3 linked regions of the Xenopus tropicalis genome follow. The protein of the gene in region 2 purifies or fractionates together with the protein of the main gene of each other region. This does not show direct contact. Links are inferred from orthologs where the notes say so. Each region holds a gene or a part of one and is shown on either strand. Other genes may lie near its edges.

Evidence for each region.
Region 1: the proteins of dnajb6 (region 2) and stub1 purify together in Homo sapiens (affinity purification with mass spectrometry; 4 studies listed by BioGRID and IntAct, with this or other methods). This does not show direct contact. The link is inferred for Xenopus tropicalis from reciprocal best matches to the Homo sapiens genes DNAJB6 and STUB1.
Region 3: the proteins of dnajb6 (region 2) and mlf2 purify together in Homo sapiens (affinity purification with mass spectrometry; 3 studies listed by BioGRID and IntAct, with this or other methods). This does not show direct contact. The link is inferred for Xenopus tropicalis from reciprocal best matches to the Homo sapiens genes DNAJB6 and MLF2.

The regions. Positions count from the first base shown.
Region 1 is NC_030685.2:14,823,096-14,826,230, forward strand, and holds part of stub1 (E3 ubiquitin-protein ligase CHIP), read left to right. Parts: intron 1-1,667; coding exon 1,668-1,833; intron 1,834-1,988; coding exon 1,989-2,079; intron 2,080-3,135. UniProt on the Homo sapiens protein: E3 ubiquitin-protein ligase which targets misfolded chaperone substrates towards proteasomal degradation.
Region 2 is NC_030682.2:17,675,357-17,679,114, reverse strand, and holds the start of dnajb6 (dnaJ homolog subfamily B member 6), read right to left. Parts: upstream 2,668-3,758; 5' UTR 2,655-2,667; coding exon 2,590-2,654; intron 2,170-2,589; coding exon 2,060-2,169; intron 878-2,059; coding exon 821-877; intron 459-820; coding exon 348-458; intron 223-347; coding exon 91-222; intron 1-90. UniProt on the Homo sapiens protein: Has a stimulatory effect on the ATPase activity of HSP70 in a dose-dependent and time-dependent manner and hence acts as a co-chaperone of HSP70. Plays an indispensable role in the organization of KRT8/KRT18 filaments.
Region 3 is NC_030683.2:9,834,275-9,837,932, reverse strand, and holds part of mlf2 (myeloid leukemia factor 2), read right to left. Parts: intron 3,443-3,658; 5' UTR 3,393-3,442; coding exon 3,340-3,392; intron 3,263-3,339; coding exon 3,130-3,262; intron 1,880-3,129; coding exon 1,844-1,879; intron 1-1,843.

The sequences.
Region 1 (3,135 bases), on a different chromosome or scaffold from region 2:
AGGGCAATGCTATTAAAGGGGAACTCCGGCTTCTGAAACAATATTTGTTAAACACAGAAACCCCTAATATACCCATCACTGTAATCTGTTCCTTAAAGTAGGAATGAATACCATTTTTATATGCTGAAATCCAGCTGCAAAGCAGTTCTTCTCTTTCTGCATCATTTGAAATCCTGGCAGGGGAGGAGGGACTAAAACATTGATGTTACAAATTGTAACAACTTCTCCACAGCTTACAGACAGCATGCAGGAACTATATAACCCATAATGCATTGCACTGTGATGTTCCTTTCCTTAATGGCATCATATGTACAGGGAATTGTGGGATATGGAGGATGCAGACTGACAGGACAGGCGACTACTGATACATTTTATTTGAGCCTCAAAGTAGTCAGATCAGCAGGGGGCGGGGCTTAGGGAACTGTTACAAACCATATTATTACATTACAAATTATGAAAAGGCTGCATATTTTTAATTGATGTATATTGCAAAGTTGCTTGAAATTATGTTTACTTTTCAAAAAGCTCAAGTTGTGTTTGGGTAGAGAATAAACTGAGTGTACATATGTGTGTATTATTGATTAATGCAGCTAGGGAAAAATCAGCTTTATTTAGAAGCTGTAAATGACCCCTGTCTCATATGTATTACTGTATAGTGTGCCAGGCAGGGCTAATAATCTTGTGGTTATGGGGATTCACGTCCCCTTAGAAATATGTATTTATTTGTGCATGTTTGTTACGTATGGCTGACAGATAATTTTATAGTATAGATGGCGGGGGTTATAAGAGTCAGCTTAGCTTTAAACAGACCTATTGACTTGACCGTGGCAGAGTTGAGTGCCGGCAGTGACCCCCCCTTATTCCCATGAATTCAACACAGGGTGGATACCTCTTTACAGGGCCCTTTTAATAAATGGGCAAAAGGGGCATTTGCCAAGGGGCAAACTTTTGGCAGAAGCATTGAGCAAAGATGGCTGACCCCTCATTAACTTGAAGAGCTCTATAGTAGGGTTATTGTAATTTCTTTCCATTTTTCCTTTGGCATCACCCAGGGCTGTTGGTCGAGGGCAGCACACCAGTGGATCAAGGGTTGCCACCTGTCTGGGTTAGATAGGTGATGACATCAGCGGTTTGTGTGGTGACATCATCACAAACACCCCTTTTTCTGGGTTTATAACCTGGCAAAGGTGGAAAGCCATGTCTTCAGTCAAACCAGACCATTTCTTTACTGCCTGCTTTACTATATCAAACTTTACGTGCTTGAGGGTTATTCTATCACAAATTGCTTGGGGCAGTGGGGGCCCACCAGTGAAATTTTGCCCAGGGCCCCCTGGTACCTTTTAAGCAGCCCTACCTCTTTATGGTTACTATAGAAATTAAAAATGAATTTTTGATTGAATTAGCTACCAAGGGGGAGGCATTCAGTGACTGGGCTACAAATGAGCAAGCGTTAAGTCCGTAGCATAGTGTCATATTGGCAGCAGTGTTACTGGGGCTTTTGTGTATCTTTCTCTGTATAAACACAGAGAGCGTTGAACATAGTCCCTCTTTATGGATTATTTTAGCAATGTACCTTTACCTGTGTTCCTTTGTATTGCACAACCTAAACCAACAGCCAGTTTCCACATTACAAATCTTTAACTGGTATTTCCTTCCTTCCCCTGCAGCCTATAACCTGGCCAAGGAGCAGAGGCTGAACTTCGGAGATGATATCCCCAGTGCCCTGAGAATCGCCAAGAAGAAACGTTGGAACAGCATAGAAGAGAGACGAATCAACCAGGAGAATGAGCTGCACTCCTATCTCACCAAACTCATCCTGGCCGAGAAAGAGAGGTGGGGGTGGCCATTTGGCCTTCAGCCTCGGCCATAAGATACTTGTATGGGATGGGAATGAGCTTTTATGTTGGGTTCTTTGAACATGTCTATGGATCACGTCTCCGCCACAGCTCGGCCTCAGCTAATATTTTTATTTTATCCTTCGTTTACAGAGAACTTGAAGAAGCAAAGCGAAAACACCAAGAGGATAGTGTAGAGGAGAGTAGAAGTCGAGCCCTGTTGTCTAGTGTGGCTTCCAAACATGTGAGTAGGAGTCTTATGGGGGCATAGTGTTCTGGGGTTTCTTGCACCATTATTGTCTTTCTTGCTAGGCTGGGTTATCTAACGCAGGATGGAAATTTCCATGGATATTCCTGCTTGTAAGGGTTGTGGCAGAGATATTTGATTGTGTAGGCAGAGTTCATAAGGTCAAATTATCCCGATGTTGCCCACCTACATTACCTACAATACACAAGGTCACCAAACGAGCAGATCTTCTCCTGATATGCCCATTTCAGGTGGGCAACATCGGGATAATTTGATCATTTGGCCTTAGGACCAAATTACAATGAGCCGTCAATGAGTCGATGCGGTCCCCGAAGGTCCATCAGGGGGCCCCATACATGGGCAGATAAGGTTTTGAATCAGTCTAAATCACTCCAATCAGAAGCTTAAATCTACTTGTATATGGCCACCTTTATATACTGCTTTTCCACTGTCTCAGTACCTAAAGGGAAACCATGTTGGAGAGGGGTGCCACTGTGCTCAATAAGACAGTCCCTTTTACTTGATGGTAACTAAGCTGTATGAATCCATATTGGTGACTAAACAATCCTATTCGGTTTATGTCAGCTTTAAAGGGGTTGTTCAGCTTTGAGTTAACTTTTAGTATGATGTAGAATGATATTCTGAGATTGGTCTTCATTTCTTAATATTTGTAGTTTTTTAGTTATTTTCTTTTCAGTCCTGGAGCTCTCCAGCTTGGAGTTTCAACAGCTATTTGGATGCTAGGGTTCAAGTTACCTTAGCAACCAGGGAGTGGTTTGGATATCAGAGGGCCTGAATAGAAGAGAAAGTTACAAAAAGTAACAATAAAACTGGAGCCTCACAGAGCAGTAGTTTTTGGGCTGCTGGGGTCAGTGACCCCCATGTAAAAACTGCAAAGATTTTGGAGAAAAAGGCAAATGATTAAAAAACTATAACAAATAAATAACGAAGACCAGTTATAAAGTTGCTTAGAACTCCCATACCGTTGGCCATATTTAGGGTTGTGCCCATCAGAGCCAAGTTCCATGCCAAAACACCCCGCTTAATATATAT
Region 2 (3,758 bases):
TAAAACATTTGCAGATGTCTGTGCATTCATTTATCCCTTCATTGGACAAAAACTTGAGTGTGCAGATAAAGGAGTATTGCATCTCTGTACCCGAGTCAAATGGAGAGAAGGTAGGACCAAAGGCAGGGAAACCTCCAAACGTAGAGAGAAAGGAACCCCCTGGCCTGCTTCTGTTTGCTCTGTGGCCTCTTCTGCCAAAGAAGTCATCAAATGGATCGTCAGCTGGAAGAGAAACAGGATATAAATTACTCCCTGACACCAGTAATATAATAATACCTGTAACATTACAATCCTTAACCCGGCAGAAACATCTAAGATTAAAGAAAATACAAATATGTGCACTATACCAAATAAATCAAATGAAAATGGGTCTCTTCCCCCAAAGAAATCCCTGAAAACATCGTCTGGGCTTCGGAATGTAAATCCAAACTCATATGGATTATCAAAGTGACTGCCGCCTAAAATAAAAATAAGAAAGAACCTAATTAGCTTGAAAGATAGAAAAACGGCATTAGTTGTTCTTAATATAAAAGGTAATCAAATACAATTAAGGTTGCACATAGTACAGGGATATAGAAGCATGGAATATTGTGGTCTCAAGGAATTTCTGTGGCAATCTGATAGAACTCTTCGCACTGTGTAATTAGGCTTGGACTGCAAGAAAAGGCTGCACACTGTAGCTGGGTCTCAAGTGGCAATTAAATAGAGCACATTAGGGTCTCTAGCCAACTAGACGGCCCTGAAATGGATCTAAGTTGCATGGAAGCATAAATGAGGTATAAATATAGCGTTAAAAGTTTAAAATGAAACTAGCACTTACCTCCACCACCTGTCAATCCTTCTTTTCCATATTTATCATAAATATCCCTCTTTTTAGCTATAAGGGAAAGAAACAAACAAATATAAATAAATAAAATACAAGCCGTTTAGTCTAAGTGGAGTTAGCAAATCATTTCAGGATACAATTTCACACAGTCTCTCTCTGAGGCAGAACATTGTTGTGATGTATTTGTGTGTCTCCCCAGCAGCTGGGGACAGACACGGCTATAAATAAGCAATGCATTCCAACACACGAGGGCCAGGCTCAAAAGTGCCTCGCCGCGTCCCACCAGCCTCAACCAAACAAAACAACAGATCAGTCTAACCTGCTTACTGGACTAAGACAAAGCAGGAAGTGGTGTACTTCTCCTTTAAATAGGCTGCAAAAGCCGCTCTGACACTTTCTCCAAGCAGTATGACGGCTTAGCTACTAACATGACGTTTGTTATCTAAGTTTTATACCAGTGGCCAGCACCTTATTATGAGTGTAATACCCACAACAATATAGAAAACAAATTAACAAAGGATCCTTCAATAATCTACTTTTACCGTAAACCCCTTTTCAGCAGAAAGGGCATAATGACCATTTTTTTTAAAGAAGAAATGTAGGATAAGTGAAATCCCCCCTCAATCTTTTAGGCAATTATGAATAATATATGGTGCTTAATTCTATCTGTGGCCCCTTTATTGGAGCTCCTTATAGATCCTCTCAGGTCCCTGCCGGTGTTTCAAATAAAAGGTGGGTGTGTCCTAATCGTCCCTGGAGGAAGCACAGCCAACCACAGCCCTGCAGTCACACAAGCAAAGGCAGGGTTTAATTCTGGTTCCTATCCTACAATGCAGTGTGCCGAGTGCCGCCGGCCCCCCTGCACAGCCTGGGAAAGGAGGCAGCAGGGAGTGGAACAGATGGGCGGGACTAGTGGGGTTTTTGGAGAAATTTTCAATAAATCCACCTGAAACACAACTTTTTAAAGTACATTCCTTCTGTATTTAGAGGAGCATAATGCACTACCACATTCTTGTTTTTTACACAATATGTCTCCTTTAAATTCATTAGCTCAGTCAGTGATTAGTATGCTTAAGCCAAGCCTAATTATAAATATTGATAGGATCTATCACTCGTGTCAGCTGAATAACGATCATGCCATATATGAAAACAAACTCCTTGGGCAAATCGGGCGCCTAGTAAGGAAACAATTACAAGCCAAGGAAGTTGGAAGAGTCTTGGGAAGATACTTACAATCTGACAGGACCTCATAAGCTTCAGCAACTTCTTTGAACCTCCTCTCGGCTTCATCTTTATTGTCGGGGTTCTTGTCTGGGTGCCACTTTAAGGCTAGCTTGCGGTATCTGGAATACAAGTTGATTGAGAATAGGGTTTAGTAATTGGTATTGAAATGCAACATTAAATGCAACTTTCAAACTGCAAATAAGGTTCCGCCACACAGGGTGTTCCATATCTTTCCTCTAATTAATCCTTTCCCAGCCATGTTCTCTCATGCCTTTTATGTGCCTCCTCATCATCGTCATCATCATCAATCCCTCCTGAGTGGAAACCCCCATCAGCCTGTGTATGGAGCTGTCACACAATGGCCCAGTCATATCCTCAGCGTCAATTTAGAGAAATGGAGGGCACTCCTGGCTAAAATATCCTTGCCAAAAAAAATTTTATATACAAAAAAAACAAAGTATAAAGTATCCAGGTGCTATGGTTTTAATAATCCCCCCATAAGAGTGGATATCCTCAGCGTCAAACCAGGGAATACTTACGCTTTCTTAATATCTTCTGGAGAGGCGTTCCTCTGGACTCCCAGGACATCGTAATACTCCACCATGGCTCAGTAATGTGATGTAAAGCCTGGAAAGAATTCATAATGGCATTGAGATGACAAATTCAAATGCAAGCGGAATATGATAAGAGGTAGGTAAATCAATTAGAGAGTCAGGAACACATTGCAAAGATAAAGGTACTATTAATGCAAGAGTATCACAACATTTCCATTTTTTATTATTCTGTTGAACCCAAGCCTAAGGCCAGTGGCACATGTATCGCTGAAATATGCCAGTCAAAAATGGCCAGATACATCTCTGTGCCACCTGTTATGTAGATGAATGGAAACGGTTTGTCCCCAGCAGTGACAGGTAGTTTCCATTCATCTAAATGGCATGACGTTTCTCCACCAGATAAAATACTTTGGCTAATACTTTCTAAAACTCGCCAAGCAAGCATATCTTCTCCCGATATCCCCACCTATGGGTGGGCAATATTGGGCCAATTTGGTCGTTTGGCCCTGGGGCCAATCGATCAAATTAGAACGGCAGGTATAGGCGCCATCGGATTGGGGACAGCATCAACGAGCTGATGCTGTCCCTGATCCAACGGAAAAATCAAACCTGCCCAAGCGAGATCTGCCCGATTTCAGGGCAGATATCGTTGGGGCAGGCCCATCGTTTGTGTCCACACATGGGCAGATAAGCTGCCGAACTGGTCTAAAGGGCCAATATTAAAGAAAGCAAAAAGTATCTCCACACTCAAAACCAATAAGTAAAAAATGAAATTTATTCAATACGAAAAACACATCATAGCAAGTATAGTCAAACGCATTTCAACCCATCAAGGGTCTTCATCAGGGGTAAAAATTTTAAAAAGATATTGGCAGCTAGAATCGGCCCGTGTATGGCCACCTTAAGTGTCCAAAGCTTACAAATGTTAACCTGAAAATCTGTTAACTGTTACTAGTTATCTTGTTTACCCTTTTAATTTGGCTCCCTAGGAGAGCCTCTCAGTCAAAGCACTGGAATATTACACCAGGTGCTAAATCGCAGGGAGCACAATGGAGGAGCAGTGGGCAGAGGGGCAGCCTGAGACATAATTATGGTGAGATTTAGGCTAATTGCCCATTAATTGTTCTGGACAGCCCAAGACATAGAACTAGTAA
Region 3 (3,658 bases), on a different chromosome or scaffold from region 2:
ATTTCCCACATCTATGAAACAAAGAGACGGTGCCGTAACCCCGAGAGCACAGCGAATGCCTGAGTTGCTATAGAGTTAAAGGCATGACTCACGGGTCACACTGACCTACATACTATAGTACACACAAATCATGCCACCACATCAAGAGAAAAAATCTAAACATTTCTTTACATGATTTATCTTTTTTGTCTAATCTATAACAGGCCGCAATATTTCCCTACCTACATGGCTGTTAGCAGTATTAGCATTTCCTTTACAGGCGGATGTGTGTCATGTTTCCCCCCCAGTCTAATAGAGCTTGGACTCCAATTGGGGAAAACAATACTATTCTTGCAAGATAATGCCCCCCGGGGCCACTGTGCAACCTACGTAGGGAGCTCCGGCTGTAGGCGGCCATGTTGGTGCCAATGCATGTGTATAATGAGCACAAACATATGACAAAAATAGTATTATCTTCCCCCAGTGGATTGTGGGATCTATTAGACCACACCTCCAGGGGGGACACATGTTTTCTATAAAACATAGCCTCATTTACCAAAAGCCTTTTGGTAAAGAGATTCATTTTTATCGAGGAGGTTTAGATAATTGCTTCATAATTGATTAATGAACTCCATCAACCCACATAACACAAATGTATTACTGGTCTGAATGCCTGCGCTTCTGGTTGTTCTGTTCATTAAAAGGGCAAATTACGCACCCTTATGTAAAAAATGTACCTAAACACTATTGAAACTGTCTGTTTTACAGACAGACATAGTTACTCAGACTGAGAGGAAACCATGATAAAGGAGATTAGTCGGCCTCTGACTCCTACAGACCCTTTCCCCGTCACCATGCAGACTGGCAGAGTCTTTCAACCTGTCCCTAATCTTGTTCCTGGTTAGAGAGATGGTATATTTTCCCTTTAATGTACAGTACATCCGAGAGGTATATTTTCCCTTCAATGTACAGTACATCCGAGAGGTATATTTTCCCTTCAATGTACAGTACATCCGAGAGGTATATTTTCCCTTCAATGTACAGTACATCCGAGAGGTATATTTTCCCTTTAATGTACAGTACATCCGAGAGGTATATTTTCCCTTCAATGTACAGCACATCCGAGAGGTATATTTTCCCTTCAATGTACAGCACATCCGAGAGGTATATTTTCCCTTCAATGTACAGTACATCCGAGAGGTATATTTTCCCTTTAATGTACAGTACATCCGAGAGGTATATTTTCCCTTCAATGTACAGCACATCCGAGAGGTATATTTTCCCTTCAATGTACAGCACATCCGAGAGGTATATTTTCCCTTTAATGTACAGCACATCCGAGAGGTATATTTTCCCTTTAATGTACAGTACATCCGAGAGGTATATTTTCCCTTTAATGTACAGTACATCCGAGAGGTATATTTTCCCTTTAATGTACAGTACATCCGAGAGGTATATTTTCCCTTTAATGTACAGTACATCCGAGAGGTATATTTTCCCTTTAATGTACAGTACATCCGAGAGGTATATTTTCCCTTTAATGTACAGTACATCCGAGAGGTATATTTTCCCTTTAATGTACAGTACATCCGAGAGGTATATTTTCCCTTTAATGTACAGTACATCCGAGAGGTATATTTTCCCTTTAATGTACAGTACATCTGAGAGGTATATTTTCCCTTTAATGTACAGTACATCCGAGAGGTATATTTTCCCTTTAATGTACAGTACATCCGAGAGGTATATTTTCCCTTCAATGTACAGTACATCTGAGAGGTATACTTTCCCTTTAATGTACAGTACATCTGAGAGGTATATTTTCCCTTTAATGTACAGTACACGTGCTTGCTACTGTTGCACTCACCATTCCCATCATGCCATAAGGGGTAACCGCACCTTGCTGGTAAGGGCCACGATGACGGCAGCACCGAGAGGGAACATGGAAAGGAAAGGAAGTCATTGTGAGATAGAAAATCCAGTACAACAAGGAACACAGGGAAACAAGCAAACTCTCAGCACAGTGAGCCAAAGATTATTGTGCCACACTCACCGTACAGTTACGTGCCAGTATTTGGTTAAAGGGGAACTACACAGAAACCCCTAATATCCCTATCCCTGTAATCTGTTCCTTCAAACAGTAGGAATAAATACCATTTATATGCTGAAATCCAGCTGCAAAACAGTTCTTCTCTTTCTGTATCATTTGAAATCCTGGCAGGGGAGGAGGGACTAAAACATTGATGTTACAAACTGTAACAACTTCTCCACAGCTTACAGACAGCATGCAGGAACGGAATAACCCACAATGCATTGCACTGGGATGTTCCTTTCCTATTAATAAAGGGGTGGCTCATCTTCAGGTTAACCTTTAGTATGTTAATTGGTCTTCATTTTTTAGTTTGTATAGTTTTTTTAAAAAAAAATTATTTGCCGCCTTCTTCTGACTCTTTCAAATAGGAGGGGGGGGGGGGTCACTGACCCCAGCAGCAAAAAACTATTGCTGAGAGGCCACAGTTTTATTGTTATTTTTCCTTTTTAGTACGTATCTTTTTATCTAAGCCCTCCTCTATTCATATTCCTGTCTCTCTTTCAAATCACTGCCTGGTTGCTAGGTTAAATGGGACCCTAGAGGTGATTTGGGTGAGGAACCCTGGAAAATCAGTGTTTATGGAGCACGTCCCCCAATTACTATTTTCTTTGTTCCTATGTTTTAAAGTTGGAGAAATAAAGTGTAAGGGGGCTTACACACAGTTATAGGGGGTATACTTATCATGCTGTGTAAAAAGTGTAGCATTACCAGTGATGTTGCCCATGGCAACAACCATTCAAGCAATAAAAAACAATTAGAAAACCAAAGCAAAGCATCTGATTGGCTGCTATGAGCAACATCATCGGTAATGTTTTACTCCATATGTAATTTGCCCAAATGGTTTAATTCAACTGTAACTCCCAGCCATTGTATTTGCACAATGACACTGAGGTTGAGCAGAATGTGCCAGGCAGGTACAGGATACAATGGCAGCCATTTGCTTCTGTTGTTCAGTTGCACAGACTCAGCACATACAGAACATGTGACTGGCAGCGACCTATAGAGTGCAGTTGTTCCCAGAGGTAAGCAGCATGGCTGAGACATAAAGGGGGGACTCTGACCTGTATTGTGCGCGAGGGGGCGGGCCGGGGAAGCCCCCTGACACTGCCGTCGGTGAGGCTCAGGAAGGGGGACACGCCGTAGTCCCCGGAGAACATGTGGCGCATGTGCTGGCGATGCAGAGCGAACGGGTCCCTGTAAGAGAGGAACAGTGTGAGACTCTGGGTGGCACTTGCACACAAGGCTGGCAGTCGTATTGGCCGCACACTCACATGAGGAACATGGCCGGGTCTTGTGGCTCGGTGTCTCTCATAAAGTGAAACATGACGCCCAATCAGAACGTCGATCCTTTGTCACTCGAAGCGTCTCTATTGGCTGAACAGATAATAATAAATAAATGCACAAGTGTAACTGTAACACTGTCTGTTATTCCTCTAAGCACTGACGCCTCTGCCCTTAGCCCAACCCACGCGTCTCCAGCAGTGTCTCGGCCCACACAGCCTCCTGCAGTCTCTCGGCCCACACAGCCTCCTGCAGTCTCCCGGCCCACACAGCCTCCTGCAGTCTCCCGGCCCACACAGCCTCCTGCAG